Rattus norvegicus: one gene and its partners. The protein of the gene in region 5 interacts with the protein of the main gene of each other region in a pairwise test. Links are inferred from orthologs where the notes say so. Each region holds a gene or a part of one and is shown on either strand. Other genes may lie near its edges. The genes, in order: Plekhf2, Ndel1, Bfsp2, Txlnb and Mbip.

Region 1 (5,088 bases), on a different chromosome or scaffold from region 5:
GGCATGGATTTCAGTCCTTTGGTAAAGAAGTGGGACAAACATGGAGGATGGTTTTTTGTTGCCATTAGGTGTGTTAGAGGAGAGATGCTAACTACGATTTGAAGGGTGATTAAGAGGTAGCTGGAGTTATAAGTTGTAAGGAAAACAGTGAAATCCACTTACACAGAGTAATGTTTGCTTCAAATGCTGTGTTTTAGGCAAGGAATGACTTAGGTTGAGGTGAAGAGAAGTCCAGTAATAGCTGGATGCGGTGACAAATGCCTATTGTTCTGGTACTCAGGAGTCTGAGGTAGGGCATGGCAAGTCAGGACCAGCTTGGGCTGAATAGTATAAGAGCCAATCTCAAAAACAAAACAGTTAAAACCAAAAGCCAACCTTACACATGATGCTAACGGTTACAGATTTTAAAGATCCAGGGAATCACTTCAAGTGACAGCAGGAACAACCAAGCATTTTAGAGATGGCTGCCTACACATTGACTCAGGAGGTGAGGCTGGCAGCAGTTGGGAGAGCATTGGGGGAATCCAGGTGAGGACATTAGGGCCGAGGCTCCGGAGTTATGGGCGGCTTCTTGGGAAAGCTGGAGTTGTGGGTTTTAAGTGTTCTTTGGATTCTGTTCTCCAGAATCCCGCTGAGGTTCAGTTTCATGGAGCCAGGTTATCTTGTGGAATTAACTTGTTTTTGATTGTCCCGTTGTTTTACTTGTGCAGGGTATAAATGACCCACACTGTGATCTCACTTGAAGTAGAGGCAGGAGGACTGTGTTCTAGGCCTACCGGGGCTGCCCGGGAAGACTCAGCAGGTTTTACGCACAGTTTAGCATGTTAGTGATTATTTTAGAAGGAAAGAAAACAAGATTACTTGCCTTTGGAAAAATCAGTGCCTTGGTAGATGACATTTTGTTAATCCCTTATAGGAATGTATACTTTGCGTGTGCTGATTTCTTTTCTTTTTCCCCTAAAGGTTATTAGCAAAAGATGGTGGATCGCCTGGCGAACAGTGAAGCAAACACCAGACGCATAAGTATTGTGGAGAGCTGTTTCGGGGCAGCCGGTCAGCCCTTGACCATCCCTGGGCGGGTGCTTATTGGAGAAGGAGTATTGACTAAGCTGTGCAGAAAGAAGCCGAAAGCAAGGCAGTTTTTCTTATTTAATGATATTCTTGTATACGGCAATATTGTTATCCAGAAGAAAAAATACAACAAACAACACATTATTCCCTTGGAAAATGTCACCATTGATTCTATCAAAGATGAAGGGGAATTACGGAATGGATGGCTTATTAAGACACCGACTAAGTCGTTTGCAGTTTATGCTGCCACTGCCACGGAGAAGTCAGAGTGGATGAACCACATAAATAAGTGTGTCAGTGATTTACTCTCCAAAAGTGGGAAGACGCCTAGCAACGAGCACGCTGCTGTCTGGGTTCCCGACTCGGAGGCCACCGTGTGCATGCGCTGTCAGAAAGCAAAGTTCACACCAGTGAATCGGCGGCACCATTGCCGCAAATGTGGCTTTGTTGTTTGTGGTCCCTGCTCTGAAAAGAGATTTCTCCTTCCCAGCCAGTCTTCTAAGCCTGTGCGGATTTGTGACTTCTGCTATGACCTGCTTTCCACGGGGGACATGGCCGCGTGTCAGCCGACTAGATCAGACTCTTACAGTCAGTCGTTGAAGTCTCCTTTAAATGACGCATCTGATGACGACGATGACGATGATAGCAGTGACTGAGGACATGCTGTGAAGTATTTAATTGACTGTCTGAGAATCAGCTTTGGGGGAAGTGTAAAACTCCTGGCTCCCTCAGTTTTGCTCTCGCCAGGACTGCCCGAGAAGGTCTTACTTACTCTCTGTGCCTGTATCCTGTAGAAAGCATCCGATAGGGGCTTGGCTTTCTACTCCTTATTTCTAGATGATTTTCTTGTAAGTTGGAAAGATGTTTATTTAACAGATCTTGTATCACATTTCCCCCTGATTTGGAAAAACTAAAAGCACAGAATGGTGGGAACCTCGACATCTGTGGCTTTTCCCCAAGCATTCTATGTAATGGTTAAGACACCAGTGACACAACATGGGTTGGAAATTCCTCATTACTTCTCTTTTCTCAATACCGAGTGGTGCCTTACTGTGGCAGCATTGTCACTGAAATCAACGTACACCCTACCTTCTTACTTCTTTGATGCATTTAAACACACTGGTGCTCTTACAGGTGGAAAATGAATGTTTGATCAATGTAGGTGAGAATATTTATTTGACAGCTACCAGGAACTAAATTTTGAGGTATCTCCTTATATAAATACATATTTTTCATAAAATAGTTGCAATTATATTTTTATGTCTTTTAGGCACCAAATGATAATGGTCACTTGTATGCTTAAAGCTAGCCAGATGCCACTCTTTGGAATTTGATTTGAAATTCATCACTAGTTAGAAGTGGCGTATTCCACTGGCTTTCACTTTCCTAAGATATTTTTACATAGAACTATTTGCTTTACATTATTTCCTAAAGGAAAAATCTGAGGAAACCCCTATTTTTCCCACACAGGGTTTCTCTGTGTAGCTTTGCTTGTCCTGGAACTCGATGTTGACCAGGCTGGCCTTGAATTCTCAGAAATCATCTGCCTTTGCCTCCCCAGGCACCACTACCACCTGGCAAAAATGAAAAGTTTTTAGAAAATTCTCACAGTAGAACATGGAATCATACAGATCTGGAAGAGATCAGAGTTTGACTAGATTTCCTGTCTGCAAGCATTGTCAATTTTTTTGTGTGAAATTATCTTGATTTACAGGTGGTGTTGTATTTTACAGAGTTTATGAAGCCCCAAACAATTTTTATTTTTGTAAAACAATTGTATGTTTAATCTGTTTCTGAAATCATTTCACGGTATATGGAGATAGAGTAGCAGTTGATATTTCTAGATTGCAGCATCGATGAGGTTGCTTTGAGAACTGGTAGTTGCTCTCTTTATGTTTGGAGACGGCTGTTGGGCTGTGGGCCTGCTCTCTGCACAGCGCTCTCTGCACAGCACTGGCCATGCTGTGCACATTCTGGCCATTGGCGTGCTGCAGTAACTAGGTTTTCAAATGTGGGAAACCAGCAGGCAGAAAGGTTTTTGTTTTTGTTTTTGTTTTGTTTTTTCCAGAGTTCTTTTCAAACTCCACCCCCTTTTCAAAATTTAAAACATAATTCTGCAGATGCCCTGGAGTTTGATTCAGTACCGTGTGAATGGAAGAGTCATTGTTACTTCGCCGTGTGGTTACAGTACTAATCTTACTTTTCTGTTCAGATCTGAAAGTGTGTGGCTGTATGGGTCTGTCTCCCTGCAGGAAATGAGGAAAGCACAGTAGAGCATGGCCTGGGGGCTCCGTTCCTGCTTTTTGTCTTGGTTGGTTTTACTGTCAAATGGAATTTTGTTTCAGAGCAGCACATATGTGTAGTCAGTAAGCGTGTTTGAAAGGACCATAAAAATCAGAGAAATGCTGGTGGAAACTTGCAAATTCAGGAACCAAGGGGAAATGTCCTGAGATAACATTTGCATTGTTGACCTTTGTTGATTGTTTTTACAGTAAAAATATTTTGCAGCTTGTTTCCTGTGTTTTTATACTGTAACTAGAAGATGTTCTTCCTTTTCTCACTGAGATATTATGCGTAGTCCCACCTTCTTATTATTAGCTGTGGATGCCCAGCATGTAGGCACTGATGGGGAGTTGGGGTTTTTGATGATAGGGTCTCATTTAGACCAATCTGGCCTCAAATTCACTATGTACCAATAAAGTACGAAGCTGAGAATTCCCTTGAGCTGATCCTCCTGCCTCCGTGTCCTGAGTACTAGATTAGCAGGCTGGGCTGACACCTTGTTTACTGAGCACTGGGTCTGGAAGTGAGGTCTTCTAGGTAAGCACCCCACCAGCTGAGCCACACTCCAGCCCTGTCCTCTCCAGGACAGGCTAATGCGGGATTGGCAGAATCGCTTCCCAGATCTTTTTTTTTTTCTTTTTTTGATTTGGAAACCCCTATTTATTGATCCTCAAACCCAATTCAAAGCTATGCACAAGGTGTCCAGGCCTTTGACCTCGAGGCCACGGCTGCACTTGCCGAAGGCTTGCCTGCCTCTCCGCTCCATTCTGCTTGCTAAGACGCTTTCGACCTCCAAAGACTGCACGGGTGATCGTCATCAGATACGGGGAAACCAGGAAAAACCAAAGTTTCTCCGTAGGCGGAGGTGAGCCCCACAGCCAGTCCAATGCCAGATCCCGGTAACAGGGTTTTCTCTCTTACCGTTGGGTAGGATCCTAGGAGCCTTATTGCTCCATGAAATGACCATTCCTGTAACACTTGTGAGCAGCCACAATGTGGTAAAAATGGCCGGTTGGTGCAGCCACCCAAAGCAAGGTGTATGCTTAGGTGGCCTCTCCTAGATGCAGGCTCTGCAGACCGGGGTGTGTCGGTGAGCCGGCTGCTCTAGGCTGCCCCCTCTTGGTAACTCCTAACATCTTAGTTTCCGGAAGGTAGAACGACCAGGGAGATTGGGTGGCTCGCACTGCCCCCTTTGCTATCCAGTTTTATTAAGTAATCCACATTAAAATGGTAGTTGAAAAGCTTTGGTGATACAAGTTTATTGGGGGAAAAAAAAGAATTTACCACTTTACCAGGCGTTTGTGCGTGTGCCTGTGAGTTTGTTTGGAGAAAATATAATTGTGTGCCTTTGTTAACTTACCAATTTTATTTGAAACATTCTCCATTTTACCTACCTGCAATTAATCTGTTTTGAGATGTTCGGTTCAATGAGTCATAGTCATTAAAGCTGTCAACTATGTGACACTTTATCATGCCCTGCCCCTGAGGCACTCCATGATTACTGCTCGATCCCCTGGCCTTAGGCAACCACGGTCTGTCTGTTTTTGCCCTTTTGGGGGTTGAAGGGAACCCATTTAGTTTACTAATGATCTCATGGTTCATTTGTATAGCGTTAATGAACACTTAACATTCTTATTACCAAATAACTTTTTCAGTTACATGTGTGTGTGCGTGAGTGTGCACACACTCCTTCCACTCTCTTGGGTCAGGGTGTGTGTGTGTGTGCGCGCGCGT
Region 2 (6,312 bases), on a different chromosome or scaffold from region 5:
TTTATTTACTTATTGTATACACTGTAGCTGTCTTCAGACAAGAGGGCATCAGATTTCATCACAGATGGTTGTGAGCCACCATGTGGTTGCTGGGATTTGAACTGAAGACTTCTGGAAAAGCAGTCAGTGCTCTTAACCACTGAGCCATCTCTTCAGCCCCATTTTCACTCTTGAATATGTTCTAAGTTTTGTATGTTGCTCTGCTATAAGCTTCCAGGATTTGGTAAACAAGCCTGTGTTCTCCATTTTTACACTCTGGCTGATCTTGGTAGACTCTGTTGATAGCATCTTAGCCTTGTTCTTTCCCAAGTGGATAGTTTACCCTATTTAGCAGCCATTTCAGGCTCCTAAATATTTTTTGTTGAACTTTAGGAGGTTCTTATAACCAATTCTTCTGGGGCTGGGGATTTAGCTCAGTGGTAGAGCGCTTACCTAGGAAGCGCAAGGCCCTGGGTTCGGTCCCCAGCTCCAAAAAAAAAAAAAGAACAAAAAAAAAAAAAAAAAAAACAATTCTTCTACAAATATGGTCAGAATCCGTTTTATCTATAAATTTGTCCACTCACTTTTCTTTATGAAAGTAGAGGTGGCTTTTGTTGCTTAGACACTGGTTTTACAATATAAAGGGACCTACTGGCAGCTCTCTTAGCTCAGAAATGGTCCCTGGGAAAGAATACTTCCACATATACTGTAAACTATGCATTTTCTCCAGCTTTTGGTTCTTGAGAATTTTTTCATATTTTTTAGTTTACACACAAAAAAATGTAAAATGTTACACATATTAAAAGAGTACCATGGGGTTGGGGATTTAGCTCAGTGGTAGAGCACTTGCCTAGCAAGCGCAAGGCCCTGGGTTCGGTCCCCAGCTCCGAAAAATAGAAAAGAAAAGAATAAAAAAAAGAGTACCATGTAATGTTCAATATATAAATACACTACACACTACTTAAGTAGGGTTAAATATATTTACCTCCTCCACTGATTATCAATTCTCTCTAGTGAAAACTTTCAAAATCCTTCTAGCTCTTTACAATATACAATCTAGACTAACTACCTAAAGCTATATACTCCTTTATAGTATTTTGTGTGCATCTGTGTATATGTTCATGAAGAAGAATAGATGTATGTGTGTAGTGTGTGCAGATTGGCATGATGTGTGCACTTGTATGTGGAAGCCAGGGAACAAGCTCAGGTGTAATCCCAGCACTGAACAGACAGGGGTAAAAGGACCCAGAGAGCAGGGGGAGCAACATGAACGTCAGGCCAGGCTTGCTTACATAGCCAGTTCTTTCAGTTCTCTGTCAGCCAGAAGCTATACACACACACACACACACACACACACACACACACACACACACACACACAGAGAGAGAGAGAGAGAGAGAGGAGTAAGTCACAGGAGGCTAAGGATGTGACTCAGCTGGTAAAGTACTTGCCTAGCATAGCATGCATGAAGCCCTGAGTTCAATCCCCAGCACTGCACAAACCAGTGGTGCAGCACATCTGTAGTCCCAGCCTTCAGTAGGTAGAAAGAACAGGACCAAGGTCATCCTTGACTACATGGCAGGTTGGAGGCTCAGTTTAGGCTACACAAGACTTTTTCAAAAAAGAAAAAAGATTTAAAAAAAAAATTCATGGGAATAGAGATGGTTCTGAGGTTAAGAGCACCCACATCAGGCAGGCTCACAACCATCTAGACAGCTCCAGCTCCAGGGATTCAGGTGCCTCCTGTCTCTGTGGACATTGAAGGACTGAAAGGGTGGTTCAGTGGTTCAGCACTCTTGCAGAAGACTAGATTATGGTCCCCTGCACCACACAGGGAACTCCCTCTCCACCTCTAGCTCTTCTTATGACCTCTACAGCCACCCACATACATGTGAGCACACACTCACACACAGAAATAAGTTTTTAAAAGAAAATGAATCAAGCCAGAAAATTCAGCATGCAAAGTGCTTAAAAGCCCAGACCCTAGAGTCAAACTATGCCCTTGCTGGGAGACCTAGGGCAAGCTATTCAACTTCTCAGTGCCTCATTTTCTCACCTATAAAACAGGAAAATTAGTTGTGTTTTGAAGATGAAGTGAATTACTATTGGCACAGCATTCGTAACAGAGCCTGATGCATAAACACAGCATAAATGTTAATTCAATTGTAAGAATCTAGTATGCCAGAGTGGGCCTTTAAAGTTAGAGAGCAGACTTCCAAATTTAAAAACACGTGATTCCTCAAATCGTTCCATTACAAAAGGCTCTCACATCTCTCCTGGAATAAGCTTTGTGAGCTAGACTAGAACAAGCAGGAGTTCTTACCCTTCCGTCACACCTACCTGGCAGTACCCAGCTTTACCCCACTACACCTATTCATCAACTTTATCCTTCTAAAAGCCAGGTTTAAATAACGAATGTGCTATCGTTGCATGATCTCAAAGCTGTCTGCGACTGTGAAGACTGTGTGTGGAGTTTGCCTCCAGGTACACTGAGAGATTGTATTCACTATCACCTGAGATTACGTAAGTGGGGAAAGTTAGCCAATGTCAAATTTTTCACTGCTTTTAAAAAGTGCTCAAATGGCACATCTACAATCTTCTGAAGCTGCAATACAGGCAGACAAGTATGGGGTATGAGTCTAAAATTACAACTTCTGCACCAGACATTATCACACTCTATATGACCTTTAGATGTGAACTGGCAATTAGCTCACTTAAACTTTAGACAGTTATCATCTAACATACCTTACTGGCAAAGACACTCTGTACAGCACTAAGAAAATTAATTTTACATGATAGGCTATTAACATATGCAGAATGAAATAGGTCTTATCATTTTTCTCCCTTATGAAGTGCCTAGAAAGTAATTTTAACTTAAGTCATCAATCCTTGAGTTTATTTTACCATGCTTTAAAATCCAAATGAAAATAAATTTTGTTGGTCTCATGAAAGCATATTCAGGTCTATTTTTTCTGTATCCAACTTCAATTTATCTCACTCAAAGCAAAGGCACTGCAGATTTAGCAACTTCTAAGATTAAGTCTGTTTCTAACTGGGGCTAAAGGTTTTCTTTGTTCTTTATGCATTTCTACTCTAAATAAAGATGTTAACAATCCAGAAGAGATACCCCTACTGGGTGCCCTTTGGCCTCCTTTGACTGACTCCTCAGCTTAATGCTGGGCTTTGCCCTTCACCTTTCTGATTTGGCAGACACTAACCCTATCTCTTAAACGCAGTGAAAACAACACAATTTTCAGACTAACAAACAACCACTCATGAGCAAGCTTCAGGGTAAGATTTTTCTAATAACTGAGCTGATTTCTGGTCCATTTACTGGTAAATAGATAAGTAATCTAGTAACTTCGGGTATTATCTTTTGACAAGTACAATGCTCAGTCCTCTTTCTGGCTGAAGAAGGTATAAAAATTTCATGAAAACTGAAACCAGAACCCTAAGCTGAGAAAGGTAAATTGTGATCCAAGCTAAACTTCTCACCAGTTAGTGGAACTCAAGTTAAAAAAAAAAAATCACAATTGCCCCCACCCCCTTGTACCTAGGCTCAATTTCCCCACACTCCAAACAGTGACTTACAGTATCCGTTACAAGTGCAAACAACAAATGTTCTAAAATGTTTATAAACGCTACAGGAATAAACCCTAAATAATGAAAAGAACCCTCACTCGCCTTAAAGGGTTAGTCACCTCATCGTTTCCCAGAGAAAAAGGAGAACCCAAGCAACCGGAGTTGGTTGGTGATACTTTCCCCAACTCCAAAGCAGATGATTAGCAGTCCGGGGCAGACAGTCACGAGACTACCAGTCTCTGCCAACGCGTGCTGCTCCCGCTCTCCCCTCCCGCATATGGGGCGCTGGGAAATCAAGATCCAACCCTGCTCCTAACCACCCGGGCAGCTCCGGGGAATTCAGGGTGGGTGGAGCAAGACGCTGGGCGCGCCGCTGCCACCCCAACTGGGCCACTCCTCGAGCCGTCAGTCCCGGTTGCCACGTCCCGGCCTCCGTCCCTCCTCTGGAAGCCCCGCACTCGCTCTCCTGCAGGTGCCCCCAGTGGGCCACACCTCCGACAGTAAGGAAGGGGCAGTTAGAGCGGTTGGAACAGTTGTTTCCGTACCGGCCGCCCCAGAACCCAAGCCCGGCCTGGCCCACCGGGCCCTGAGCCACAGCCCCGCGGTCAGGCAGGCTCCCCAGGGGCAGGCCTCGGCGCTGCCCACTCGGCTCGACCCCAGAGGCTGCCTCACACGGGAGCTCACCGCCAATGTGTCAAAAGCGCATGTTCGCCGCCGCTCGGCCGACGTCTCTGCTCCGCTGGCCTGGCCAGGCCCGCCCAGCCTCTCAGCTCTGCTCCCTTCCGCAGCCCTGAGCTCCACTCCGCGTACCTCCGCGCTGGGCTCCTCCCCGACACGTCAGGGGCTCCCTGGGTGTCGGAAGCCATTCTGTGACGCACGGGGGTGGAGTCGAGAGCATGCGCAGAAGCAGGCGGGGGGGAGGAGCCATGGGAGGCAAGCGTCACAGGGAGCCGACCCAGGCCCTGCGCGCTGACGTCAGGCCTGCGACAACGTCCTGCGCAGGCGCCGCCCGGGGCACCCTAAGGGTGGGTTTTTAGCCCTCTGGGGTTTCCGGAAGCTGTGCTGTTGGCGAGAGTAGTTCCCTACGCTAAGAGGAAGGCAAGTATGAAGGCGTAAGGGAACTCAAGAAGGAGACAGGAAATATGCGCAACTGTCCTGGGAGTAGAAACGTAAATGAAGAAAAGGCATTTGGGGAACAATTTTAGGGATTTTTGCTGTCTCATGCTAAGTGTAATTCTAATTTCAGTGCTGTTGGGCTTGGTTTTGAGGTTTGAAAACAAAACAACATAGCATAAAACACGCTAAGCCTAAAAAAGGTGAGCTGAAGAAGCCCACGTATACTTTTAGGAAAGGTAAATATAAACAAAAACAGTGTAAGGTGGATTTTTTAAGGAGAACCTAAATTGATGAGCAGAGGAAGATTGGTAGGGTCTAAATCACCTTGAACTACACAATGAAGGAGTTAGGGTTTTAAAAAATGATTATGAGTTCACTGTGCGGTTTGTTGTGCCCAGGGTTGTACCAGTCACTGGTCTGCATTGCTTCATCACAGTAACCCCAGGTTACTCTCAATTACAAATAAGAAACGGCAAGATGAAGTTTCCCAAGGTCACTCAACTACAGCGCGAATTCAAATTCAGAAGCTATACTATTATTATCCACTACTACGATGACAAGAAGGGAAACATAGGCTAGACCATGGGGCTAAAGTGCTTTCAATACGCTACCATTAACCCTCAACATTTGAGGCTGGAATCATTAGATCTATATTGTAAAGTAAGACTCAAAAGAGGTCTACTTTCCAGGCCAGAGGCCTCGAACAGCTTTGAAACTCAGTCTGCCTTCCCTACTTGGAGCTGTGCTCAGTCTAATCAGATTTCAGGCAAGGAAGTGATTAATGAAGGCTTTCCTATAGACCCAGTGCCAAGACAGAACAGTCCCACCCAAATAGGAAAAGATAAAGGCTGCAGCTTCTGTCCTGCCTCCTGGCTGAGGTGCTAAGAAACACACTGAGTCACCTAATGGCTGGCCAGGCCCTTCAGAAAACATTGACATCATCTCCCAGGCTGCTGCCCCTCCCATTTGCTCTGGCCTAGGACTGGCATCATTCCCTTCTTAATGAATGGGCTTAGTTTGGCAGAGCCCTCAGAACCCAAAGGCCCTGCTTTGATCTTCATCATTGGCCCAGGGGCTAGAATAAGGTACGAGTCAGCAAACTGCCCCACCTCCTTCCATTATGCCAAATCCATACGGAATAAATCAGTAAAGAAGATGACAGTCTCAAAAGGAAGCACAAGTTATAAAACCAGCTTGGTAAGGTGAGGACTGCCATATGCTTCCAACCTGATGTAGCATTCCAGAGTACTTTCCATAGGTTCCAGTACTTTTTGGACTGTTCAATGTACCAGAAAGTTCAATGTAACAGTCTCTGAGAACACGTGTAAGCACCCACAACATCTTCCCTGCTACAAAATACAAGAAACAGATCAAGTTCTATCCTTCCAATGGTTAATGTGTGATCAGCTACCAAAAGAGAGATCTGGGTCCAAACTCCAGCTAGTGAAAATGCTGGACTTTGGCCCATCTCATACCCAAAAAAGGTAATTGTTTTAGTTAAGGTTCTACTGCTGCAATGAAACACCAAAAAGCAAGTTGTTGGGGGAAGGGTTTATTCAGCTTACACTTCAATATCACTGTTCAACACCAAAGGAAAGTCAGGACAGGAACTCAAAACAGGGCGGGAACCTGGAC
Region 3 (6,180 bases), on a different chromosome or scaffold from region 5:
CCCTGCATTTGGCCTCAGACAAGACATTCAGGAACTGACTAAAATGCATCTCCATGGAGCCCAATAATACCACCTGGATTAGGAGGCTGTTACCATAACTCAGTCCCCAGTGCATCATGGACGCTGCAGAAGTGGTATTCATAGGAAGACCACTACATCTATGTAAGCTACAGTGCATAAGCTACTGGCCTTTACTTGGTTCAGTTGGCTCCTTAATCTGTTAACCAGATAAACACTGATATTTAATCTTGTGTCTCCCAAGAGGTAGGGAGGTGCCTCAGTATAAGTACCTTACAGTCATGAAGATCCAAGTTTGATCCCCAGAACCCAGGTACAAAATCTGGGTGTGGTGACACAGGCTTCTAGCACTGGGTAGGCACCAGGTAGGCAGAACCAGATCCCTGGGGTTCACTGGCCTGCAAGTCTATCCTAATTGGTGAGTCCCAGACCAACAAGAGACCCTGTCTCAGACAAGAAGGTAGATAGCCTTTGAGGATGGCTGTAAAGCTAATCTATGACCTCCACACAAGACAAAAGTAACAAGGTCCCTCTTACATTGTCTTACATCCTACTAAACAGAAGGAGGAGAGAGGTTGCAATTTTCATGAAGACTAGGGAATAAAACACAAAGTTCTAGCAGATGAGCAGCCCATGTGACCCTGGTGAGTGGTAGCTGCTAGAAACAGCCTTATACACCCCTGGATTAAAGAGACCTCAGCTCTCTACATTCTGGACAAGGACCCCGGGATCTCTTATCACAAAGAGAAATATTGCATCTATGAGCTAACACTTCTGAAATTGCACATGATGTACCCCGAACAGCAGTGCATGTCGGTGCTATATTTTCCCAATTCTAAAGTTTAATTGAAAAAAAAATCAGAGAATGGAATTGTGCTCAGAATTGAGTATCTACCAGATACTCAATTGGTACCTACCAGAAATTGATTTCTGTCCCTGTCTCTTGCCTGGGGTCAACCCTCATCAACCCTCCCATTACAGGACCAAGGAGTCCACGGTCCATCTCTGGACCTAGGGTGTATGGTTTCAATACACTAAAACCTCACCTGGCACATGGCTTTTTAGGACCATGTCCTGCTCAGGCTGGAGGGACCATTCTACCCCCGAGAAGTGACTGGCATCTAACCATTGACAGTGTGACTTGGAGGATGCCAAAGATAAGGAGTAAAACCTGGGATGCCTGCTCACAACTCTGTCACTCCCGTTCCAGGGGATCTGACACCCTCGCACATATATGCATGCGGTTAAATCACCAATGTACATAAAAATAAGATAAAAATCCTTGGGTGCTGAGGAAACCCTAACTTGGATAGGAAACCCCTTTGTTGTTTTCCCTTCTTGGTCTTATTAAAGGGTGAGACAGAGGTGAAAGGGAAACCAGAGCCAACAGCTGCCCAGCAAGCAGCTCAGGTCCTAAACTCACTCCTGAGCGTCTGCTGTGTCAGAGTTAGCAATCGAGCAGCATGTACAACAAGGTCGAGAGGACGAGAAACAAGGCCAACAGCCAGCAGCTGACAAGCACAGTGTCAGAGGGCAGACATGGCGGGGAGGGAAGAACGGAGCTGAAAGGGGCCTGGAACAGCTGCCAGACCCGAAGGGAGAAAGCATGAGCAGGCTTGCTTCGTTTTCCTTGGGCCTCTGGGGCTGCCTTCCTCCGTGGCTGGGCTGGCTCATGCACACATTCGTACATGAAGGGATAAGGCCAGTCCTGTAAACCGCCCTGGGGCTCTTGCATGGAGTCTCAGCTTGTAGTGTGAGATCTGGAGATCAGAACGCTTGTCTTCTAAGGTTCTGTAGCCCGATTCCTCACCAGTGAAATAGGGACAGCTTGTTGCCCACCTGACCTCTCTGTGGTAGTAACATACTCATCAAGGCCAAAGACTGAGGTTCAGAGAGTATGCATGAGGCCCGATTCTGTCACAGGAATTGGAGGCAGAAGGATCAAAAGTTTAAAGTCTTCCTGGCTACATAAGGATTTTGAGGCCCACCTACGATAGAGACACTATCTAAAAAGAAATAGGCAAACCTAGATGACCCATTCCCACAGGCAGCACTGCTCTACCCCCAACCCCAGAAAAGTCTGGATGTCTGGGCACATGACCCAGCAACAGAGAATGCCTGTGTGCCTCTCACAGGCTGGTAGGGCGCTTCTCTTCCAGCTCAATGAATGCCAGAAACTCGTGGAAGGCAGTAGACAAAGAGCTCGGGGACAGGGGAGCTTCCAGAGAGGCCCGTGACCAGGCCATGGGGATGCTGGGGCGGCAACCAAAAGCCACTGGACCGTGTGAACCTGCCATGCACCACAGAGGCAGTGAGAATGAGCGAGAGGAGAGTAGCAATGGACTTGCCCTCAGGATCCAACGCCAGCATGCCCCTGCAAAGGCACAGGGTGTCATCCCTTAGGGGAACACGATCTCCTTCCTCCCTGGATAGCCCCCCAGCATCCAGGACCAGTGCTGTAGGTAGCCTCGTCCGTGCCCCTGGGGTCTATGTAGGAGTAGCACCCAGTGGTGGCATAGGTGGCCTCGGTGCCCGAGTGACCCGCCGGGCCCTGGGCATCAGCAGTGTCTTCCTGCAGGGCCTGCGGAGCTCAGGCCTTGCCACTGCACCTGCTCCAGGCCCAGAAAGGAATCACGCCACTGCTGAGGACCTGGGGGGCTGCCTAGTGGAGTATATGACCAAGGTGCACGCTCTGGAACAAGTCAGCCAGGAGCTGGAGACACAACTACGGGCTCACTTGGAGAGCAAGGCCAAGCGCTCCGGAGGCTGGGATGCCCTCCGTGCCTCCTGGGCCAGCAGCTACCAGCAGGTAAGTCCTCCAGCTGTGCCTGGAGGTTTACTAGAGGTCTGAGAGAGGATGGTGAAGGTAGTGAAGATGGCGCAGAATCAGAGGCCAGGGAAGCGGACCACTTGCATACCAAAGCTGCTGGTGGTCTAAGATTAATACTGGTGAGTTGCCATTCACTGAGGCTGACCAGGAGCCAGGACCACCCAGGCATAATGTACACCCGACGCACACCAAAAACACCCCAACAACGTTCTGCAACCAATCTCTCACTGTGTATACTTTTCAGATGAGAAACCCAAGTTGTGTACAAGGTCCCAGGCCATAAGCAAATAGAGCAGCGATTCTCAACCTGTGGGTCACAGCCCCTTTAGGGGTCACATGCAGATATCCTGCATATCAGATGTTTCTGTTCTGGTTCATAACGGTAGCAAGATCACAGTTGTGAAGTAGCAACAAAATAATTTTATGGCTGGGGGCCACCACAACATGAGGAATTACTGTATTAAACGGTCCCAGCATTAGGAAGGTTGAGAACCACTATAATGGAGATGCAGCAGATTATGTGACCCTGGATTTCCCTTCCTCAAAGTTGCACTTGTCCTATTATCTGGGACTGCCTCCGTCACCGTTAGTGCAAAGGGTTTTCAAGCCTTCACAGAACCCAATACCATTGGATGGATGTGCTATTTTAAATGGTGACTAAATAAATGGGGGGTCTCCTATATCCAGATAAAATGAGTATATGGGATCAGTGGGAATATGGACCATACAAGTAATTTTCAATTTCCTATTACCTATGGTGTGTGTGTGTGTGTGTGTGTGTGTGTGTGTGTGTGTGTGTGTATAAACAAGTGAATTTGGTGTTAATATTTTGTTTGACTCAATAAGGAAAAAGATTATTTCAGTATGAAATCAATACAGAAATACGAGCACAACAGTTCTGACTCAGATAGACCCTTATGGAGGATGGAAATGTCTTACAGTCTTGGCCATCGGTTATGTGGCTTCTCCTGGGCAGACATGGACAAATGCATTTTGCCCCAGGCAGGGCACTACCAACAATCAAATATTTTACCCAAGTCTAGCTTAGTACCAATGAGTTTATCGGGGTTACTTACCAAAGTTGAGTATGATTGTATCAAAGGAGACTGCACCCCTGAAAAGCGCACGGGCAAGACTCATGAAAGCTATACCCCAAGAGCTCCCTGCCCAATTTGCAGGTAGCGCTAAAGAAGAGCCTCCCCTCCCCACAAGGGTTTATTGCATATATAATGGGGGAGGGCGTGACTCTTACAAGGCTCTAAGCCTTCTAAGTTTCCTCAAACTTCCTGGATCTTAGGATCCACCCTCCTCCCTCCCCTTCCATTCAAAAAATTGCTACATCACACCATCCATGGCAACAGAGTCCTTGGAATGTGGCCTTTGAGACTGAGCACTTGACACTTTGTTCTACCCGGATTTTGTTCCTTCAGATCACCACCTACAGCCGACAGTCATCTTGCTGGGCAGGGGTGTGGCAGCCTCCTTTCCCTGTCACCTGGTCAGAGTTGCTTTTTTGTTCCCTGAAATAATTTCCATAGAACTCTAAGCTCATCTACCAATTGCGCCTGCAAGCTCTGGTTCTAAGACTAGAACACACACCCCACCCCCCAGGCATTGTCCATCTCAGCTCCGGGGGTAGCTGGCTCTGCCTTCTTCCCTGAATGTTGGCCTTGGGATGACTGTGAACTAAATCAGTCTCTATTCCAGAAGTAGCCAAGTCCCATTTGCTCCCTGGAGTCAGATATGTAGACTGAGAGGAGGTCAACGAGTGGCCTACGTGTGGTTGGGTGATACCAACAGAGGCACACATGGAGGCCCCCATTTCAGCCCGTGATGCTTCTCCTTCACTGTTCTCAGCAGCCCATAGAGAAGGGAATACAATACTGTCCTTCTGGCCAGTGCAGCTGTTCTGTCCACACTCCTCTGAGTTGTGAGGGAGAGCCTCAAACATTCAGGGCTTTACAGCCTGTACAAGAGGCAGCCACTCCTCTGGGAGTCCCCACGGCTATCTTGAATTCAAATATGTGTGGCACACTAACCCCTAGAACATGCCATATATTTCATCTCAGCAGCATCTGCTGGACAACATGATACTCAGATGCCATGCACATACATGTACCAGGAGGCACCAGGCATCTCAATGTCGAGGTTAGAGAGTTCAGATACAAAGTCCAGTAAGCAGATATCGAAAGTGGCTCCAGAAGCCGAACGTGCGGATATCGGGACCGGACACAGAAGCTTCTGCAATGTGTGAGCCTCAGTTTCTCATCTATGACCCGGATTTAATAATGTCTACATAATCCAACAGCTCTATAACCTGTAGACTTGAGAGCTATAAAAACATTTCAACAGAACAGCCATGAAGAACAGCCATCACAACGTCAGCTTCTGCCCCTAGTGGTCAAATCCAGAATGACAGCCATTTTCCTCTAAAGCATTTACCAGTGAACTACTAGAACAGACGCTTCCCCTTCCTCCTCCCCGTTCTCCTGGATTCCTCAGCCTTAAAACCACTTAGGCCCTTTCTCCCTCAGCAGTGAAAAGAAGTGGAGAAATACCCAGGTGGTGGCCTCTGAGATCAAAGAGGACCCTGCCGGCTCCTGGTCCAGCAGGAGGTGGCCCTGTGTTTCCCTGCACTGTGCTCCTGACTTCCTATCACGTGGACGATGCCAATAACTGGCTCTGTTCGATGCTGCATCAGATCCTTTTGTCCTCAGACACGAGCTTGCACGGAGAGACCTCCTGTTGCACAGCTGCAGATAAACCAGCAGAGGAGCATCCTGTGTAGTGAATGTCAGTGCACAAGGAGGGAGCTGAGCCAGGCAGGGGGAGGGAGAAACTGCCCAGGCTAGGGATGGGGACGTGGAGCACTAGAACTTTATGTGGGAAAGGATACCGGGATCTCCACAGGGAGAAGACAAACAGAAATCAAAATCGCTGAAAGGCCAGAGGATCAGGGTTCTCAATGGGCTTGTCCTGGACCTGTTTTCTCTTCCTGGGAAAGCCGGCCTATACTCTGGAATTTCATCTGTTTGGGGAAACTGCTAGCAGCCTGGGGGTGCCCTTTAGGGCCCAGTTCTCTTGCTGTGGAAGCTGTGGGGCTGGTGTTACAACCACACAGAGAACTAATCTCACCCACCGGGTGAGAAGGGCAAGAGGGTCAGCACGGAGACTGATCGTACTGTCTCTGGAAGGAGGCTAGAGGGGCAGGACAGAACTCTGAGCTGTTTTAAAATCTACAAATGCCTAACTGTATTTTCCGAGGGAAAGAAATGCCATTGTTTATTTCCTTTTCTTGTTTAATGTGTACACGTGTGTGTGTGTGTGTGTGT
Region 4 (5,655 bases), on a different chromosome or scaffold from region 5:
TATCTTCCGAGACTTTTGACTCTGGCTCTTCGTCAGAGGTGTGCTGAACCTGGTCTTCCTTTTCGGACATTTTTGCGTCTCTGATTTTCTTGTAGAGTTCCTTTCTCTCTTCTTGTAAAGCACGACACAGGTTCTCCAGCCTCTGGATTTTCATCACGAAACACTCGTATTCCTTAGCTCGCAGGGCTTTCTGTGACATAAAACACACACACATACACGCACGCACGCACGCACGCACGCACACACACACACACACACATACAGGACATGAGCAGTGAATTTCCCAGGATGCTGTCCAGAATCAAAACTATCCATCCTAGAATTTGTCTTCTACACTTGAACCCACATTTAGTGACATCACTTTGTTTTTCTGATATTTTGATTATCAGACTAATAGAATTTTAATTACTATTGCCTGTGCTTTGGGAAATAAACCTGATAAGGTTTCTTTCCACTTCCATAGAAACAAAACCCTCTCAAATCCTAACCCACATGAATCTTCTGTTTCTCAAAATTTGGGGGTATAGGCAACGTCTTCTGTGAAATAAGTAAGATGATGTAGGACTTGGCATTATGTACTCTAGGAAATATGTCTTCTTGATAGAACTGCTATATGCTAATCCCAGCAGCCATCTGATGCGTGTTGATGACTCATGAACATGTCTTGGGAATTGGTTGCAACTTGGAATGAATAGTTAAAGTGGTAATTCTAACCACAGAAACTCCCCACATACCGATTCACGATGTTGGCTGCTTGAACTGTTCAGTTCTTCTCTCTGGTAATAGCAGTCGATGTGAGTGAACAGGGACCTGATCCTAATCACCCCACTACTGATTGCCACCCTAGCTACCCTGTATCTTTAAGACCCTTTTTACTCATTAACAGGAAGGGATCTTCCCTTGTAGGGTCAGCCACCTAAGTCAGAGCCTATAAACCTTCACCTTTGGAGTTGCAAAACCTGTATAGGTCCTGGCGTAACACCAGCTGTCTAATACCTGTTGGAGGAGTTTTTAAAAAGATTTCTTCATATCTGTCTGTAAAATAGCCTATGTCCGCTGGTGTCCTCTCTTAGCACAGTCAAGTCAATGCATTCAGTGTATTTGCTGGATGTCAAACAGTAGACGTTTGAGATCAAGTAAGAATGTCATCAAAGCCTTTATAGTCCAGAAGGCATAGCACCCCTCTGGGGTCAGCTTTCTACCTTATAATCCCGTGACTAAGGTTCTCAAAGATCTTTCATTCTTCCTTAGATTTCTAAATAACTCTTGATCTTATTCTTTCTACTACATTTTAATACATCATGTCACCCTTGAAATTCAGCATATTTTCAGACATAATCACTTACACCGTTGGGTTATATTGATTATTTCACCAGGGTCAGGGAAGGAAGAGCTTCCTCACCTCTTCGATCATGTCCAGCAGGGCTTTGTTACAATTCTCAAATCGGGCTTTCCATGTGGCCGTGTCCTTCTCCAGCTTCTTCATTTTCTTTGTCGTCTACAGAAATTAGAGTGTTTCAGTGTTTAACCCTGAAGAGCTGACGTATCAAGGAAGCAATTAGTTCCACATATGACACCCAGCACAATCCTTTTGCTACCAGCTGCTGAAGCAAACAAATGTACAACATCAACAATGAAGATTGTGGAAGAGGAATGATTTATTTCCTGGATTGGCAACGAACAAACCGGTTTGCACCGGAGCCAATTCAGGACGGAAGAAACTACTTAGGAGAACACTGTGTTGTTGCTGACTTTTCTTTCACTTAAAATAAATAAAAAAATATTCCTTACTGAGATCCATAAACAAGCTTGTAATTTAGATAATTTACTTGTTCAAATAGAAGGCCCTGGTGGTGAGAGAGCTGAGATTGCTTTGGGGCATTTCGCTGCAGGTAATAATTGGTGTGCACACAGAAGCTGCTTGCCACCTTCTCTTTATTCATGTTTATAGGGTGAAGGTGAGCTCACAGGAGCTGATGGTTACACATTCATGTCATCTCTGAGACAGCCCCATGAGAAACACTCCGTTTTCATCCCCATTTTATAAATGAGGAAACTGAGGGTCAAGGATGTGTATTAATGTCTAAGTGGATTAACAAAAGTCAGGCTAGCGATACCTCGTTTTCTACCAAAAATGGTGCCTCTTTGTCACCAGACTATGAATGTGGGTTACATTCTTACTCTGTTTTATTTATTGTAGGATCTCTTCTCTGATTGTGTGAGTTGAAGGGTAAGGCTCTTAATCAGGTATGTCCTTTCATGAGCCACACCTAGGTGCTTGCTTCTTTTTTATTTATTTATTTATTTGGTTCTTTTTTTTTGGAGCTGGGGACCTTCTTTTTTATTTTTATTTCAGGTATCTTGAGACAAGGTTTTCTTCTGTAACCCTGGCCAGACTGAACTTTCTATGTAGAGCCCGCTGTCTTGGAACTCACAGAGGTCTGCTTCCCTCTGCTTCCTGAGTGCTGGGATTAAAGGTGTGTGCCTTCATGCCTGGCTATGTGCTTGTTTCTTGAGCAAAGCTGTTTGAGGTACACACTGAGGCCAGAGGCTGAGCCCAGACTATCATTTTTTGCTCTAAAAGGAGCTAGATGGATTTTTTTTTGTTTGGATCACATGTTAACTAGATCAGGCATTTGTAAAGTTTAAGAAGTTAAGTTTAATAATTTGATACAAAAGTACAACAATGTCAAGCAACCAGAGCTTCCAGGGACTAAGCCACTACCTAAAGACTATACATGGACTGACCCTGGACTCTGACCCCATAGGTAGCAATGAATATCCTAGTAAGAGCACCAGTGGAAGGGGAAGCCCTGGGTCCTGCTAAGTCTGAACCCCCAGTGAACTAGACTATGGGGGGAGGGCGGCAATGGGGGGAGGGTTGGGAGGGGAACACCCATAAGGAAGGGGAGGGGGAGGGGGATGTTTGCCCGGAAACGGGGAAAGGGAATAACACTTGAAATGTATATAAGAAATACTCAAGTTAATAAAAAAAAAAAAAATCACAGACAAAAAAAAAAAAATTGATACAAGATAGAGGACCATATTCAGGGTTACACAAACATGCATCCCAGTTTTTTGTTGTTGTATATTAGCCACGGAATTCTTGGGCTAACTAATATCCATAAATAAATTCCAGATGAAGAGCACTTGATTTAATATCCCTTGATTTAAAATTTTGAAATAAAATTTTAAAAATTAACTCTTCAGAACCAAGAAAACTAACTTAACAAATATTAGTGTAAAAGTTTCATTATCTCACTAAAATATATTTTGAAAGGTGCTCCCTACACTTATAATTAATGCCAGTGCTTGTTCAGAAACACAATGTGTGTATGTGTATGTGTATGTCTGTGTGTGTTTATGTCTGTGTGTGTGTATGTGTGTATTGTGTGCATGTGTGTGTATGTGTGTGTATGTGTGTGTATGTGTGTATGTATGTGTGTGTATGTGTGTATATGTGTGTATGTGTGTGTATGTGTGTGTGTGTATTTACATGTGTGTATGTAGATGTGCCTGTGGACATGCCTATGTTGTGCTGTACTTGTAGAAGTCAGCAGACAACATTTAGGGATCAATTATCTTTGTGCACCTTGTTTTGAGGCAGGGTGTCTTTTGGCCCATCAAGGTACTTCCTATGCTAGGCCAACTGGTCCTGGAGCTTCTGGACTATTCTACCGCTTCTGGTTTCCCTGTGCTAGAGGGGTTCTAAGAGCATGGATGTCTCTCATCCCCATACAGCTTCTCACATGGTTCCAGGGATCTAACTGGGTCATCAGGGTCACTACAGCAAGTTCTTTCACCCTCTGCCCACAGAGGCAGAGTGTTGACACTGATTTTCTATTAGGAAGATACTGCACTGAATGAAATGCCAATGCTATGTCCATTGACATTATTTGTACCTTTTAATTATGAAAGACTTGCAAAAACTTTCGATGTGTTAGTTTATTTATGGTTTTGTGAGTTATGAAAAAAAATCAGTTTATAGATAAACAAAATAAAACTCAAGAGAAGTACATAAATGGCCCAAGGGTCCTTGATGAATAGTTATAAATGCAGAATTTGAGCTTACTTTTCCGTCTTCTTATGCAGGGCTTCATCAATTGTAATGCACAAGAGTCTATCAACTCTAATGTTGTATCTTTAGGTTTAATTTTTTTTAACCATACGAGGGTTAGGTGTTTGCACTTAATGCTAGCTTTTATAAAAGTTTGCTAACAAGAAGAAAAATGTTAGTCGTCTTAGTGAAAAATGTATCCTAGTATTTAGGGACCATTGATCAGATTTGTTTACTGGAATTTTTTTAAAAAGACAAAATTCCACTGAAAGCCTCACTCCTGCCTATACAAATTGCATTGCATCATGAAATGCACTGGAGTATCTTAGCCAGAGAGAAAGGAATGCAAAGACCTGCCTGTCAAAACAAAGATGGCCACTCTTCGTGGAGAGGCCATACTCACATTATCCATTTCCTGCTTGAAAGTGGCAAACACTTCATTACTTTTTGTCAGTGTACTCTGGAACTCCTCAAACCTTCCCGAGTAGAGAGTAAGCTGTAAAGAAAAAAAAGAGTATATCTTTGGGGCTGCTCTCAGATTGCTTCCAGAAAAAAAACAAAACAAAACAAAAACCCAACAAGTCGCTGTTCATTATTTGAGAAGAAAAATGAATTAAAGTTATTGCTGGTACAGGAATATGTTTAGTTATTTTATATACTACAAGGTCAACCTAGGTTGGTGAACATAATTAAAATTCTTCATTAAAACATCGTGTCTGTCTGTCTTTAAATGCCTTCTCCTATAGCTCTCCACCTTACCATTTGAAAGGTGTCTCGGTGAACCTAAAACTTGACATTTCAGCTGTACTGACTGGCCAGTAAGGTCCAGGGATCTCCCTGTCTCTGTCTAGCTCTTTGTGCTGTATTTATAGGCATGTGTCACCACACCTGTCCTTTACCTGGGTGCTAAGGATTCAGACTCAGGTCCTTAGGCTTTTGTGACAAGCACTATACTCATCAACCATCTTTGTACCCACAACATGCTTGTTTTCTTCCTTCTTTCCTTCGTCTCCTTTTTTTGAGAACTGCATATATATATATATGTATATATATATATATATATATATATATATAGTGTTCTGATCAAATCCGCTATCATTCCCTCCCCTCCAGTTTCTCCCTTATTTCTCTCAGCAGTTCTTCTCTGTCAACTTCTTTTTTTTTTTTTGTGAGCAGCCATGTGGATGCTGGGAACTGAACTCGGGTCCTCTACGAGAGCAACAAGTGCTCTAACCACTGAACCATCTCTCTCCACACACACCCCCACCCCTGTCAACTTCTTGTCTCCTATCTTTTCTTAAAAACGTATCAAGTCCACTTAGTGTCGCCTAAAATGTTTTTAAAGAACAATAAAATTATAGAATATAAGTTACAGCTTTATTATATCATAACTTTCACAAATATTTATTGGTCACTGAACATAAGTAAGTACCACTTATAGAAAGGTATTTATTTAACGTGTGAGTCCTGCTTTTGAGGGACTCGTACGCCTAATGGGAAGACAAACGCAATGACAACTTGACTATGGGGTAATCAATACAAATTACTAAGTCACTTGCCTTGGATTTTCTCTGTGGTCCACGTTTACAACCTAAGCT
Region 5 (5,655 bases):
AAGTATTGAATTACTAGCTCTTTTTGATCTAAAATGTAAAACTGAATTGTTAAAAAGTATTTTTTCTCCAAATGCAAAATATACTAATACTAACCTTTTTCTTCTCTCTCATTGGCCCAAATTACAAAGCTAAAGATTTTCTGTTAGTTTAAAGTAATGTGTTTCTACTGAACATACATAATTGAATAGACATTGTTAATAGTATATTAATAGAAAATCTTGAATTCCTAGTTACTGTCCCAAGAGTTATGGGGTAAAAATTCATAGACTCCACATGTTACTAGGGAATTTGCTGAATGTTTTGGATATATTTGGGGGTCATTTTTAAGTTAATTTGTTACATTATTGTTTGGTTTCCATAAAAGACCAAGTATCTTGAGTTGCCTTTGAAAGCTTCTATAATCCTTCCAAATTGACATGAAAATATGATCTAAATATTAAGATTTCTTTCCTATAATTATTTTCTCTAGAGAAGGTGATACTTTGCTTTGCTTTAAGACTTGCCTGTTTATTCCCCAAACATAAATTTGCCTTGGTCAACTATAGATCCCCTGACTGTAAATGCATGCTGATGGAGTACCTTTATACACAATAATAAATTCAGTTATCTTATTAATTAACCTTACTGTCAAATCTTAATTTAGTATAAGTTTGTCTTTGTCAGTATAGCCTGTGTAAAATTTTGTATTTCTTTATGTTTGCCAAATGTAGACTCAGATGCCTCTGGTCTCAGGCAGTAGGTCTCTATCCATTACTTATACAGTAGAGTGCTTAACAGAGGAACCTGAGATCTCTTTGGTTCCATGGACAGCGATTCATGTCTTGGTTTTTTATTCTTACAGCTCATTAAATTATATTTGAGCTCATGAAACATCTTTACTTTGTGGAAAATATGACTAAATTTTAATAAATTATTCTTACAAAATAAGTATAATTAACTTGCTTCCACTTGGATTGTGTCCAGAAAAGTTTATAGAGATTCCCTCATATTCAGTCAAATTATTACAGGTGGAAGCTTCTCCCTCTAAAATTTGACAGATTTTGATATTAATTTTATATTCAGTTCTTGGTAGTTTTCTAGATATACATTTGCCCTAATAAATCACTAGTTGATGAGAAATTTTCATGGTATGAGATATATCTTTCTAGAAAATCCTTAGGAAACATTGGGCATCCACTTTTGGCTTTGTTAACACTGCTGTGGGAAAGTACTTGTTTTTTTAACCTCAATAATTTCATAACTGATAATTAGATTTTTATTTGTAATTACTGTCATCTATCCCTATGTGTGAATAATCTTTAGTTTTAAATTTTTAATTGGTTAAATTTGAAAACAATAAGAGTGATTGAGAAGACATCAGGGTAATGACTTATTTTAGGCATGTGTTTGTGTGATACGTAACAAAGAGAATACTTTCTGGAAGGCAGTAGTTGATCTCCGTCTGTTGAATGCCTAGGATTCTGATTAGGGCAGACCTATTTTTGGATACCTTCCAAAGGTATTTAAGATATCAAAGTATCAAAAGAGGCTATGGCTTCTCAAAGATGGCCCTATTATACAGACGTAGAAACCAAATTAAAATAATAAGACATGTTTTTATCTTTTTTATTTTCAAAGCTGTGCCTTTTAGCTTTTTAAAATAGCAACTACAGAAAGCATTTTATTATGTCATTGAAACTTAGTAACTTGAGCAAAATAGGCATGCATTACTCTATAGAAATCTTATTTTTGTGATAATCCCAGATATATAGCTTAATCGTGTAATTTTTGTGATGTTGCTACTTTGCCTCTTTGAAGCTTAACCTCAGAGATGATGTGGTGAAAATTACAATCGATTGGAACAGGCTCCAGAGCCTCTCAACATCCCAGCCTGCACTGCTCCTTACTGCACTTGAACAACACGTTTTGTATTTACAGGTAAATTTCATATTAGAATGTTTACTGGATATTCAAAATAGAAATTAACTGTAGTTTAATTAGCTGGAGTATTTTTCAGTTCTACCTCAACATTCTGTTAACAATAACTGTTATTAGTAAAAGGTTGCAGAAATCCATATTGAGTCTAGGTCTGTTAATTTCACTAGTGATTGGGATAGTTATGAGAATATAGCCCAACAGACCGATGTGGGTTTGAGAGTGAATAAATGCAATTCTATTCAATTCTGGGCTTTGCTGAAAATTCAATACAGTTCATCTATGGTGGGTTATAATTAAGCAATAAGACGCGGCAGGTGTGAGTCATGCTATGATAATGATTCCATGCCTTGGGTGAGTTGGGAGGCTCATGGAGTGCTTTCAGTGGTTCAAGAAGTGGCATTATCCCAGCATGACACATCCTGGAGTGTCTATTGCAATTAAACAGTTTCAGCGTAGTTTTTAAAAAGAAAGTAATTTCTGTGACATTAATGTTTCATCTTAGTGAGTAGCCAGTCACTATTTCATCTTAATAATTTGAAATAATTTATCCTTTATTGGAAGTCAATATTGAATTATTTATCATGGTATTGTTACACTTTTAATATTTCAGCTTGAGAAACGAACAGTATTATAGCCTTGCTGCTGTTGTTGAACATCTCTGCAAGTGTAATTGATGTGAGTTAGAGCTTTTCTCTCATCAGGACAAGCAGAACTGTTTTTCCTGGTCACTTTACTGTGTCGAAGATGTTAGAAGATTTCAAAAGAGTACTTGGCATAGCAAACAATAGAAACAAAATTGTATGAAAAGATGATCAGGATATTGTTTAGAAATAATGTGTTAATTTTCAGCCCTGAATTCATTGACTTTCTGGGAACATTTAACTGTGTTTCATGATAAAAATAACAGTTAACAATTTGTCTAAAGGGCAGGTGATGAGCTATAGAACTCAAATGTGGACCATGTCAGGGTGGGGATGACGAGGAACAGTGGAAGTGAATTTCTATTATGAAGACATATTTTCCTTAAACCTACTGTAGTTGGAGTGATTTGTTTCCAGCTCTTTCTTCCTTTCTTTCTTCCTTTCTTTCCTTCCTTCTTCACTTCATGTGCATTTGCTCTTGTGAAGTTTCATTTCCTGACCCAATAAGATCCTTGCTATGTCAGAGAAGGCTGAGTGTTCACTCAGGGTAACACCTGGTATACTTCATATCCGTGCCCTCATTCATCGTGGCCCACTGTACTTTGAAGTGGAGAATCTCAGCGATGCAGTGATAATGCAGGGCTTTGCTGAGTGAGCACTGCTCTCCTGCTAAGGACGGAGAACACTCAAGCTAGTGTTCTGAATGACATGTTAATTAAGAGGCATCCAGGCCAGAGACTGAGGCTTTGATTTAGCACAAAATAAAAGATGAATGACAGAATGATTTCCTCAAAGAAAAATTTAAATGTCCTCAGGTTTTCTTTCTTGTCTTCTTTTTAAAAAATAATGTACAGCAAGCGATAAGGGCTATACAGTAGTAGAAAATAGCAAACCTGTGTGTGGTCAGACCTGCGGCGTGTCCTGTGTGCCACCAGCTTTTCATATTTAATAACTGGTAATACTCATTTATGTAGCAGCAGCTTATACAAACCTATCACTAGTTGAGATGAGTTTGAACCTGAGCAGATGTCACTGTGTTCTTTTCAGCCTTTTTTAGCAAAACTTCAGTCTTTAATTAAAGAGAATTCAACAGCTGCAGAACTAAGACAAACAGAAGCAGAGACCAAGAGTGAACTAAGAGCCAAACTTCCCACTGGGGACCTACAAGATGAAGGAAAGCTCAAAGACGATGATTTAGGGGATGTGAAAAAGACACAAATCCATTTTGATCCAGAAGTAGTTCAAATAAAGGCTGGAAAAGCGGAAGTAAGTTTGGGCTGGTACAAGGATCAGGGTAATATTACTTTTAAAAGTTCTGTTATGTTTAGATTGTTAAATTATTTGTTGTTTATAGATTGACAGACGAATATCTGCATTTATTGAGAGAAAACAAGCTGAAATCAATGAAAACAACGTCAGGGAATTTTGCAATGTTATTGATTGTAATCAAGGTAACTAGAAGTTTTTTTAAATAGAATTTTAAACATTTTGACAACTGATGTAATATTTTGTTTTAAAAATGCATAACAAAAACAAGATTCAGTCTTACAGGTTTTTAGTTGGTAATTAAGGCAGTAGAATTTTCCTTTATTTAGTGACGGGCCCTGTTGCCAAGCTGATTTTCATTTTGGTTACACAAAACATCAAGTGAAGGCCGAACTCTAGAGACAGATATTTACCACAAGTCCGAGAAGATCAAAGTTTCTTTAGAGAATGAAGGTGAAATGTTGGATGACAGAGTTGTTTAGATTTGCTGTTAGGAGAAGACAAAGGATTATGAACTTGAGGTCTGTAAATGTACCTGTGAAATTATGTTAATTCAGTGAGCCTAGTAGCAGTAATAGCATTCCTCAGGAGGGAGCAGTTTTCTCTTTACTCCTGAGTTTCATGATGCACCCAGCTTGTCACGAAGACCTGTGGAGCCCTAGGCCTTTCCCTTTTTCACATCGCATACCTTTGCTGTTTCTCCTCAGTCTCCTTGTCCTCTTCACTTGATGCTACAGTGTTTCCAGGTCTGCAGTATACCTACAGAATACCATATACTGTGTAGATTGCCATAGATCATAATCAGTTATCCTTGTAAAAAATTATGGAGAAAGGTTTGTAATTGGGCTGAACGTCTTATTGCCATTAATATCTCTTAGTGATTATAAACATAAAATTGCCCATTGAACCTGGAAGTGACTCAGAATCACATTGATATGTGATGCTCTTAACATAATAATGTGGGCTCACTGCAGATGCTAAGTTAAACTCTTCTACTGTTAACTTGTGTGGATCTCTAGACTTAGCTCTTTATAGCAGGTGTAGCAGTGGCAGAATCTCAGGTGTGGCAATCCAGTTGTACGCACTTCAAGAAAAGAGTTTGCTGAGGGAGCAAGGACATGTGTCACTAATGTTACTCCTCTCTTCCTTCTGCTAACTCCATTATTATAAACCACCAGGGGATAGACGTTGACAAGAACTGAAATGCTCAGCAGGATTCCTTAGCCCATTCAGTCCCTTGCTGGCTCAAAACAGTGCTGCCTGAGTTGCTGTGGAGAGGGACTGGCACTCATGCATTCCCTGTCCCCACACTGCCACATTGCTCTCTGATGGCTCTGTGCATTTGGAATAGAGCCCTGGAATGGATGATAGCTTTTTAAAAAAATCCTTAGACCAATGAAAGAATAGAAAGAGTAAAGACGTCTAGACCCGTTGAAGATATTTTGAGGTGTTTCCAAGGAAAAGAAAATGAGTGTTTAATCTTTAAATATAAAAGATCAAGTAGGTTTGCAATTTTATTTATAGTTCAATTTATCACAGATCCGTTAAAACTTAAACTTAAGAAATATATTTTTGTGTTTAAATACATGTATTGGTGTTTTTTTATAAGACCTTTAAGTTGGTGTAAGAAAAAAATTGATTTTAAAAAAATCAAATTTTGTGAAATAACAAAGGACTTAAATTCATTTTACATCCTTTTTTTTTACAAAGTAATATGAGAATTTAACAAAAAATTTACAGCCAATGTATAGCTTTACTGTTACTTCAAGCATTAATCTGTATTTCTATGTTACTATATTATATAATGTGTTCATGTATAACAATTATGCT

The links.
Region 1: the proteins of Mbip (region 5) and Plekhf2 interact in binary tests that used the Homo sapiens proteins (3 or more experiments, as listed by UniProt). The two-hybrid records come from large-scale screens. The link is inferred for Rattus norvegicus from reciprocal best matches to the Homo sapiens genes MBIP and PLEKHF2.
Region 2: the proteins of Mbip (region 5) and Ndel1 interact in binary tests that used the Homo sapiens proteins (3 or more experiments, as listed by UniProt). The two-hybrid records come from large-scale screens. The link is inferred for Rattus norvegicus from reciprocal best matches to the Homo sapiens genes MBIP and NDEL1.
Region 3: the proteins of Mbip (region 5) and Bfsp2 interact in binary tests that used the Homo sapiens proteins (3 or more experiments, as listed by UniProt). The two-hybrid records come from large-scale screens. The link is inferred for Rattus norvegicus from reciprocal best matches to the Homo sapiens genes MBIP and BFSP2.
Region 4: the proteins of Mbip (region 5) and Txlnb interact in binary tests that used the Homo sapiens proteins (3 or more experiments, as listed by UniProt). The two-hybrid records come from large-scale screens. The link is inferred for Rattus norvegicus from reciprocal best matches to the Homo sapiens genes MBIP and TXLNB.

Annotation. Positions count from the first base shown.
Region 1 is NC_086023.1:28,886,853-28,891,940, reverse strand, and holds the end of Plekhf2 (pleckstrin homology domain-containing family F member 2), read left to right. Parts: intron 1-963; 5' UTR 964-977; coding exon 978-1,727; 3' UTR 1,728-3,582; downstream 3,583-5,088. UniProt on the Homo sapiens protein: May play a role in early endosome fusion upstream of RAB5, hence regulating receptor trafficking and fluid-phase transport. Enhances cellular sensitivity to TNF-induced apoptosis.
Region 2 is NC_086028.1:54,057,750-54,064,061, forward strand, and holds the start of Ndel1 (nuclear distribution protein nudE-like 1), read right to left. Parts: upstream 4,287-6,312; 5' UTR 4,246-4,286; intron 4,190-4,245; exon of another isoform or gene 3,664-4,189; intron 1-3,663. UniProt on the Homo sapiens protein: Required for organization of the cellular microtubule array and microtubule anchoring at the centrosome. May regulate microtubule organization at least in part by targeting the microtubule severing protein KATNA1 to the centrosome.
Region 3 is NC_086026.1:112,938,337-112,944,516, reverse strand, and holds the start of Bfsp2 (phakinin), read left to right. Parts: upstream 1-2,270; 5' UTR 2,271-2,335; coding exon 2,336-2,827; intron 2,828-6,180.
Region 4 is NC_086019.1:14,261,771-14,267,425, reverse strand, and holds part of Txlnb (beta-taxilin), read right to left. Parts: exon of another isoform or gene 4,614-5,655; intron 4,554-4,613; coding exon 4,461-4,553; intron 1,499-4,460; coding exon 1,403-1,498; intron 191-1,402; coding exon 1-190. UniProt on the Homo sapiens protein: Promotes motor nerve regeneration. May be involved in intracellular vesicle traffic.
Region 5 is NC_086024.1:79,553,109-79,558,763, reverse strand, and holds part of Mbip (MAP3K12-binding inhibitory protein 1), read left to right. Parts: intron 1-1,798; coding exon 1,799-1,918; intron 1,919-3,606; coding exon 3,607-3,825; intron 3,826-3,913; coding exon 3,914-4,010; intron 4,011-5,655. UniProt on the Homo sapiens protein: Inhibits the MAP3K12 activity to induce the activation of the JNK/SAPK pathway. Component of the ATAC complex, a complex with histone acetyltransferase activity on histones H3 and H4.